2 linked regions of the Oryzias latipes genome follow. The protein of the gene in region 1 interacts with the protein of each later gene in a biochemical or structural test. Links are inferred from orthologs where the notes say so. Each region holds a gene or a part of one and is shown on either strand. Other genes may lie near its edges. The genes, in order: signal transducer and activator of transcription 1-alpha/beta and mcm5.

Evidence for each region.
Region 2: the proteins of signal transducer and activator of transcription 1-alpha/beta (region 1) and mcm5 form a complex in vitro, tested with the Homo sapiens proteins (2 studies listed by BioGRID). The link is inferred for Oryzias latipes from reciprocal best matches to the Homo sapiens genes STAT1 and MCM5.

Annotation. Positions count from the first base shown.
Region 1 is NC_019860.2:3,991,147-3,995,709, reverse strand, and holds the start of signal transducer and activator of transcription 1-alpha/beta, read left to right. Parts: upstream 1-1,487; 5' UTR 1,488-1,620; intron 1,621-2,940; exon of another isoform or gene 2,941-2,962; 5' UTR 2,963-2,981; coding exon 2,982-3,109; intron 3,110-3,192; coding exon 3,193-3,337; intron 3,338-3,411; coding exon 3,412-3,507; intron 3,508-3,586; coding exon 3,587-3,673; intron 3,674-3,764; coding exon 3,765-3,843; intron 3,844-3,914; coding exon 3,915-4,006; intron 4,007-4,074; coding exon 4,075-4,226; intron 4,227-4,302; coding exon 4,303-4,461; intron 4,462-4,542; coding exon 4,543-4,563. UniProt on the Homo sapiens protein: Signal transducer and transcription activator that mediates cellular responses to interferons (IFNs), cytokine KITLG/SCF and other cytokines and other growth factors.
Region 2 is NC_019866.2:21,037,954-21,042,376, forward strand, and holds the start of mcm5 (DNA replication licensing factor MCM5), read left to right. Parts: upstream 1-1,443; 5' UTR 1,444-1,597; coding exon 1,598-1,770; intron 1,771-1,945; coding exon 1,946-2,072; intron 2,073-2,153; coding exon 2,154-2,282; intron 2,283-2,356; coding exon 2,357-2,529; intron 2,530-2,604; coding exon 2,605-2,760; intron 2,761-2,836; coding exon 2,837-3,006; intron 3,007-3,092; coding exon 3,093-3,264; intron 3,265-3,354; coding exon 3,355-3,466; intron 3,467-3,540; coding exon 3,541-3,684; intron 3,685-3,751; coding exon 3,752-3,817; intron 3,818-3,886; coding exon 3,887-4,063; intron 4,064-4,144; coding exon 4,145-4,257; intron 4,258-4,350; coding exon 4,351-4,423. UniProt on the Homo sapiens protein: Acts as a component of the MCM2-7 complex (MCM complex) which is the replicative helicase essential for 'once per cell cycle' DNA replication initiation and elongation in eukaryotic cells.

The sequences.
Region 1 (4,563 bases):
AATAAATAGTTTATTACTTACTTTATTATGCACCTCAAGAAAGCTCCGAAAAGATATTAAAGATATTAACCAAAAATGAACTAATCTTGTAACCTTTTCAGTGACACTTACACATGGCTTGTGTGAACGTAGCATAAGAGAGGAACACCGATTTGACCACATGGCTGTTGAAGCCCAAATTGACTTCCCCGGGTTCTGATTCAGAGTCAGAAGGATCCTATAGTTGAAGGTTAGAATAATAAGACTTCACACCCTGAAACTTTGGTTCGCCTTTGCAAAGGGAGAATTCCAGCACAGCTGCTCACATCTGCTCCTCACACAGACTGTGCTAAAACTCTGCTTTCCCCTTGTCGGACAGCTCTTTTTATTGATCCACACATAATGTATGCATAACTTACATCCTGCTCAGTTATTTTTAACAAAGCCTCCAGGTTAACTCACCTTTCTCTTTTGACCTTTGTCACTCTTTATTTCCTCTTTTGATCTTTGTCTGAAGCTCCCTTAACCACATCCTGCACATCCTCCAGGTTCACATTCTAACCTTTGTCACCCTTCACTTGAAGTCACAAGTTATCATACACCTGTCTCATGTTTGCTTGACTCACATATAAAACATTAATATACTTTTAATTATAATTCCCACATGTCATAGTGGTGTCGGTGTTTGTTTTGTTGCTTCCACATTGGCCAAATACGACATCATACAACCCCTTCATCTTCACAAATTGGCAATTAGGATTAAGGACGGCGATAACTGCAATGGGAAAGGCGAGAATCTAGCAGTCAAGTATCATACATGGGAAAACCAGATTTAAGGACATGTTTTGGGGGGAAAAATGACACAAAATTGCGAGCTACGTAAAAAACAAACAACAAACAGACAGTTGAATAGACATTAAAACTAACTAAATTGGTTGGGTTAAAAACTAAACCTTAAATTCAAAAAGTCAATTATTAACTAAAATCAAAAACAAAACTACAAAATGTGTATGTCAAAAAATAGAAAAAATATTTGTGTATACATGTTATATCAATATTTATAAAACTAAAGCACTACTTTACACTCTAGACTATTTATAGTGTGATATTACATCATTTTCAAAGAGTAAATCAATAAAATACACTAAATGTTATACTTTTATTTAAGTTTCAGTTTTACCCCTTTCTCTTTCTCTGAAAACACGTGATCCCGTCCCGCTGTTCTACTACTTGCGTTCCCTCCCTCCGAAAAAACGATTCTTATCCTGTTTTTAGAACTCGTATGAGGATTTAGAGACTGTGTGCAACCTTCGGGGTCTTCGTAAACATAAATTAGTCGTAAAAATATAATCCTTCGGTCATTTTTGACCAAATAAAGTGATAATTCCTTCTGTTTAAGCGTTGTGAAAAGTTAGTGTTGTAACTCAAGGAACAGCCTCGTGGACTGTTTTCTGATTGGCTACAAAGAAGACGGAGGCGGGAAGGCGCCGGACGTTCTGAGCTGTGATTGGTCTGACCGTCCATCGACGGAAGCGGCGTGTCTCTGCCTGCCAGGCTCCTTTCCTCAACATTGGGAAAAGGAAAAACTGCTCAAATACAGCAGAATTGTCTGAAAACGGAACCAACCTTTAGCTGTGAAAGGTAAGTTTGGCACCGCGTTTGACCGACTGTGTGTCGCCATCTTTGTCTGCCCGTTTAGTTTAGTTGCAACAACAACCTGAACACGGCTAAAGCTAGTGATAAACTTTAGGAGAAAACTCCATAAAAAGCACATAAATAATGCAGTTGTGACCCTTTAAATCTTCACATGTTTACCAAGTAGCTGTCGTTTGTGCTAACGCTTTAACATATAGGCGCGACGCGGGACAAAACAAAAGATAATGAGAGAAAAATGCATAAAATAATAACAAGTTTGGTGTTTTTTGTAGTGCCGCCTTCATGAAAGCTCGTAATAACGGACTCTTCATCCTTGGCAACGTTTTTAACGACGAATTGCGTCACATTTTATGGTTATTACGCGTTGTAATGTGTCTGCAATTTACGAGTATGTAATAAACTATGCATAGACATTAAAGGATGACAATATAGAACAGTAGTGAAAGATTTAAGCTAAAGTAAACAATTTTAGTGACGTTACGTGAAGTGTCTGCAGCGGTGCCACCGTCAATAACTTTATTTAAACAAGTGGGTTAACAAATCTGTGGAAATTTTTTCTAAAAGTAGAACCTGAATGAAAGTTTTTGTTATAAATTATTATTATTTTCTACTGGACGTGAGTCGAGGAGGATTTATGGTGTGAGCTTTTATGATTTGCTATGTCGTAAACTGCAAGAAAAAAAGAAGAAAAAACCCCTGCTTTGACCTTTGACCCCAGAAATGACAGGATTGTCTGAATTTTTTGAATTATTCTATTGTTTATGTGGTTTGTGCAGCCTTCAAAGCCAAACAGGCATTTGTTTGTTTAAATGAAGATTCGGCCACCAAAATGGTGCGATTTCTTCCTTTTTTGAGGTTTCATTTTACGTTTTTTTGTTTTAAAGTCTTTAATGAAAAAAATGCGAATTAATGTAAAAGTGAAAATTTGAAAATGATTAAAAATAGGAACAGAAATGCTGCGAGTATTTCTGATTTACTTTGTCTTAACCTGCAAGCAAAGACCACACCTGCCTTAACCTTTGACTCTAGTAAAGACAGGATTGTCAGAATTCTTTGAAATATTTTCTGTATTTTTGTTTTTGGAGCACAACCACAAAGCAAAAGAAGTATTTGTGTATTTAAATAAAGTTTTGTGATGGCCTAGCCATCAAAATTGTGAAGTTTGGAGAAGTTTCTTCCTTTCTTTTAGTTATTTTTTCCCCCTTTCTTCCTTGGAAATATTTTTAGCAAATTCACATTGAAGTGAAAATTTGAACAGCGTAGTTAGCATCCATGCTAATTCCTGTTTCTTTGGTTTTCTATCAATGTTTTGGTAAATTGTTTGCAGTTCCTGACCTTCCCAGAAGATGGCGCAGTGGGGCCAGCTTCAGATGTTGGACTGTAAGTACCTGGAGCAGGTGGACCAGCTGTACGACGACTCCTTCCCCATGGACATCCGCCAGTACCTGAGCAAGTGGATCGAGAGCATCGACTGGTAATGGCGGGCAGACCGGCGCTCTCCAGCTTTGCGCCTCGGCCCACGCCGCTCACCTGTCCAACCCCTCCCTCCCCCTACAGGGACACGGTGGCGATGCAGGACTCGCTGGCCACCATTCGCTTCCACGACCTGCTGGCTCAGCTGGACGACCAGCACAGCCGCTTTGCGCTGGAGAACAACTTCCTGCTGCAGCACAACATCCGAAAAATCAAAAGGAACCTGCAGGTCCGAGTCCCGCCGACCCCTCCGACACCCGGAAGTCGCCGGCGCCACTTCACCGCTGTTCTCTCCCTTTCCAGGATCGGTTCCAGGAGGATCCGGTCCACATGGCCATGATTATCTCCAGGAACCTGAAAGAGGAGCAGAACATCCTGGCTAAGGCGAAGAGCATGGAGGTGAGGCGTCTTCGCAGACTGCGGCGCCGCTCTGTGGGCCGGCGTGACAAAGGGGTGACAGAGGCGTGTGTTTGTGTAGCAGGAGGGCGAGAGCACGGTGTCCGCCATGGTGGTGGAGAAGCAGAAGCTGGACAACAAAGTGAAGGAGATGAGGGACCGAGTCCAGGTGGGGTTCACACGCCACGCCGCCACTGCAGCCACTGCAGCTCCTGCAGCCGGCGGCGTCTCCTAACCCCGGGGGCTCTCGGTGTTTTCAGATGGTGGACGTGAACATCAAGAACGTGGAGGACCTGCAGGACGAGTACGACTTCAGGGTCAACTCCCTGAAGAATAGAGGTGAGGCGGCGTTCCGGCGTGGACGGGATCGGGAGCGCGGCCTCGCCTTTCATCCCGTCTTTTGTTGGCAGAGAACGAGATGAACGGCATGACAGCGAAGGAGCTGGAGAAGGAGAAGATGGGCATCGCCCGGATGGGCTTCGAGCTGAAATCCAAGCGTCAGGTGAGCCGAGGCGTCGCCGCTGAGAGCCGGCGGGGAGGCCTGGGGGCTCACCCGCTTCCTCCTTCCAGGACGCGGTGATCCAGCTGAGCGACCTCCTCACCGTCATCCACGCCCTCCTGACCGACCTGATCTCCGAGGAGCTGCCGGAGTGGAAGCAGCGGCAGCAGATCGCCTGCATCGGCGGCCCGCCAAACGCCTGCGTGGACCAGCTGCAGAACTGGTGAGAACCCGCCGAGGATCTCCTTCAGCGAGGCGTCCTCCTCCGCCACATCCTCTTCCTCCTCCTCGTCTCGCAGGTTCACGGCCGCGGCGGAGAGCCTCCAGCAGGTCCGCCAGCACCTGAAGAAGCTGCAGGAGTTGGAGCAGAAGTTCACGTACGACAACGACCCCATCACGCAGAAGAAAGCCTTCCTGGAGGCGCGAACTCTGGAGCTGCTCAAAAACCTTCTCTCCAAGTAGGCTCCTCCCCCTTTAGACGGTTTGGTGTTTTTTTTTTTGCAAAGCGCCGCGTCAGCATCTCCTCCTTCTGTGTGCAGCTCCCTGGTGGTGGAGCGGCA
Region 2 (4,423 bases), on another chromosome or scaffold:
TTTCACAGGGTTTACATAATCTTTTACAGTTGTTTTGGCCCATTCCTCCATGCAGATCTCCTCTAGAGCAGTGATGTTTTGGAGCTGTCGCTGGGCATCACAGACTTTCAACTCTCTCCAAAGAACTTTTATGGGGTTGGGACCTGGAGACTGGCTAGACCACTCCAGGACCTTGAAATGTTTCTTACAAAGCCGTTCCTTCATTACCCGGGCAGTGTGTTTGGGATTGGTAAATGGTAAATGGCGTATACTTATATAGCCCTTTTCTACCTTCTTCAAGGCCCAAAGCGCTTTACAGTCACAGACCCATTCACCCAGTCACACACGCATTCACACACTGGTGGCGGCTCTGCTGCTGAAAACTGGCACCAACCTCCCACCAAAGGCAAGGTGGGATTCAGTGTCTTGCCCAAGGTCACTTTGACTGACCATACATGGCCCCATTCATTCTTTCCTTTACACAAATCTGTCGTCCTGGTCCCTTTGCTGAAAAGCAGCCCCAAACATCATGTTTCCACCCCCATGCTTTAGAGTAGGTATGGTGTTCTTTGGATGCAACTCTGCATTCTTTCTCCTCCGAACCGACGAGTAGAGTTCTATCAAAAAGTTCTATTTTGGTTTCATCTGAACATAGGACATTCTCCCAATCCTCTTCTGGATCATCCAAATGCTCTCTAGCAAACTTTGGATGGGCCTGCACATGTACTGGCTTTATCAGAGGGACACGTCTGGCACTGCAGGGTTTGAGTCCCTGGCGTTGTAGTGTGTTTTTGATGGTAGCCTTTGTTACTTTGGCCCCAGCTCTCTGCAGGTCATTCACCAGGTCCCTCATGTGGTTCTGGGATTTTTGCTCACGGGGGAGCCCACGGGGGAGATCTTCTGGGGAGTCATAGATGTCATTTTGTCTCTCATAGTTGATGTATACCTATGATGAAAATTACAGGCCTCTCTCATCTCCAGTGGGAGAACTTGCACAAGGCTGACTAAATACTTTTTTGCCCCACTGAACATATTCAGATCTTATTTTGAAGCAGAACAAAGACAAAAGAGGTGCTAGAAGGCTGAAGCGTCATCCATCAGCAGCTGTAATGTTTTCCTATTAGGTTAACACATTTCACATTTAAGTTGCCTTATCATTGATAAAAATGTAACTTTATGTGGAAAAAGTTGCTTTAATTAACTCAAAATAAACTGTGCTTGCATGGGTTTCACTGTCTCACTTCAAATTCTACATCTAGGAGAAAATGTGTCATTAGGTTTCTCTAAGCTCGTGGCCCTTCTTTGTTATTTTGCTTTTCTGCTGTCGCCATGCTTCAGAAGCTCCTCCTCTTCTGTTTTTCGCGCCATCGCGACTCAGCGCCCCGCCTTCAGCTGAAGAGTTCGCCCATATCTACATGTTCGACAAATAAAGAAAAGCTATGTTTGAACCTGACCAATCAGAGTCTAGGAAAGGGGCGGAACTAGCAGAGAACCCGCGGGAAACAGAAAGGAAGACGCTTCAGTTTTTCCCGCGAAACGTCGTCACAAAGTCGGGTCCTTCCTGTCTGTTTGGCTCCAGAAAAGCACAACTTTTGGTGTCAGCTTCAGCCGCTTCAGCATGTCTGGCTTTGACGACCCCGGCGTTTACTACAGCGACAGCTTCGGCGGGGGAGAGGGACCCGGCGGGGACGAAGGTGGACAGAAGCGGGTCCAGATCAAGAAGCGGTTCCGAGAGTTCCTGCGTCAGTTCAGAGAGGGAACTGACCAAACCGGGTTCACTTACAAATACAGGTCAGGCTCCTTATGAACTCAAAGCGGTTCTCAAATCTGCATCTACTTTCAAAGTAAACGATAAGTGAAGTGGTGCTATATCACGAGGCAGTTGCATTATGGGAAATGTAGTTATATGATTAAAACATCTGCTTTAGAAGCTCAAAAGTCCTGATTGTCTCCTGTTGTTCCGCAGAGATGAGCTGAAGCGACATTACACTTTGGGGGAGTTCTGGTTGGAGGTGGAGGTGGAGGATCTTGCCAGCTTTGATGAAGATCTGTCTGACTGCCTTTACAAACTTCCTACTGAGAACCTGCCGTTGGTGAGTATCCTAGTTCACATTTTTATGCGGTCATGAAAGTCTGACTCACGACTAATGTATAGATAAAACGTATCTCTTAAGCTGGAGGAAGCAGCTAAGGAGGTGGCCGATGAGGTGACCCGACCCCGACCTGTGGGGGAGGAGGCGGTGCAGGACATCCAGGTCATGTTGAAGAGCGATGCCCACCACACATCCATCCGGAACCTGAAGGTACCTTAGGACCCTGCTGTGCCCGACGTTGCAGTCATTCCACACATGGATCACCTTTCTGTGTGTCTTTCCAGTCGGAGCAAGTGTCCCGTCTGGTGAAGGTCCACGGCATCATCATTTCTGCCACAGCAGTCAAGGCGAAGGCCACCAAGGTGTGCCTGCAGTGCCGCGGTTGCCGCAGCGTCATCCCCAACATCCCCCTGCCTCCGGGCCTGCAGGGTTACGCTCTGCCCAGAAAATGCAACAGGTGAGGAATCGCATTCCGGTCTCAGGTTGACCCTGCTAGACGACTCAGCCTCAAAACGACCTTCTGTGTTTTCAGCGAGAATGCTGGCAGAGTGAAGTGTCCCATGGATCCATACTTCATCATCCCGGACCGCTGCGTGTGCGTGGACTTCCAGACGCTCCGCCTGCAGGAGTCTCCCGATGCTGTGCCGCACGGAGAGATGCCGCGCCACCTGCAGCTCTACTGCGACAGGTAGCCATGGAGATCACCGGAGTCTGCTGCTCCGTTGCTTTTGCGGCACGCCACTGAGGTTTTCCTCCGTCCCCAGGTACCTGTGTGACCGCGTGGTCCCGGGCAACCGAGTGACCATCATGGGCATCTACTCTATCAAAAAAATGGCTGCTGTAAAGGCCAAAGGCAAAGAAAAGGGTATCGGCGTGGGAATTCGTTCATCTTACCTGCGAGTCGTTGGCATCCAGGTGGACACGGAAGGAGCAGGTAAAGATCCCGATGACAGGGTTGGTTGTGAGAAGCACATTGTTAGGTTTGGGGGGTCATTTTATCTTCTTGTTTCTTGGCTGCAGGCCGCGGCGCCACCGGACCCGTCTCTGCACAGGAGGAAGAAGAGCTGAGAGCGTTGTCTACCTCTCCCAACATCTACAGCTCCCTGGCGCAGTCCCTCGCTCCCTCCATCTATGGCAGCGACGATCTGAAGAAGGCCATCACCTGTCTGCTGTTTGGAGGCTCGAGAAAGAGGTACGGCGATAGAACGGTTTATTTCTTCATTTTTGTTGCTGCTGCAACGATGTTGTTTTGAAGCTAAGAGTCTGTTCTTGTGTCTGTTAGGTTACCTGACGGTCTCACGCGCAGAGGAGACATCAACCTGCTGATGCTTGGAGACCCTGGAACAGCCAAATCCCAGCTGCTTAAGTTTGTGGAGAGATGCTCACCGATCGGGGTATTTGTTTGTGTTTTTTTTTTTTTTTAATTATCCGGAGGGAAAAAAGTTCTGATGCTGACTCTCACTTGCAGGTTTATACATCAGGTAAGGGCAGCAGTGCAGCTGGGCTGACCGCCTCCGTGCTGAGAGACCCCAGCACTCGTGGATTCATCATGGAGGGAGGGGCTATGGTGCTGGCGGATGGTGGTGTCGTTTGCATTGATGAGTTTGATAAGGTAGGTCCAGGGTGAGCTGGGGGGCAGCATCGGGGTTGCTCGTCCTTCAGGCTGTTTTTCTCCTCAGATGAGAGAAGACGACAGAGTGGCGATCCACGAGGCCATGGAGCAGCAGACCATCTCCATCGCTAAGGTAACCGCCTTAAGTTTGACCTCCTTATTGGGCTTCATTGGAAAAATGCTAATAGTCTGCGGCCTTTAGGCTGGAATCACCACCACCCTGAACTCCCGCTGCTCCGTGCTGGCGGCGGCCAACTCTGTGTATGGCCGCTGGGACGACACCAAAGGCGAGGACAACATCGACTTCATGCCCACCATCCTGTCCCGCTTCGACATGATCTTCATCATCAAGGACCACCACGACCAGCAGCGAGACATGGTGAGAGGACGCGACGGGAGGTTTGATGCTTCAATTCTCTTTAGTGCTTCCGCTGACTTTGCCGCCTGACTCTGCTCGCAGACGCTGGCTCGCCACGTGATGAACGTCCACCTGAGTGCGCAGACGCAGACGGAAGGAGTCGAGGGCGAGATTCCTCTCGCCACCTTTAAGAAATACATCGCCTACGCCAGAGCGTGAGTCACTCATTCTGCAGCCAGACCGCTTTAAAGTTTAGTTTCCTGTGGATTTTGTGGAGTAAAGAGTGTGTTCTGCGTGTTCCCTCACAGTAAATGTGGCCCCCGACTCTCCGCGGCAGCTGCTGAGAAGCTGAAAAACAGATACGTGGTGATGAGGAGTGGC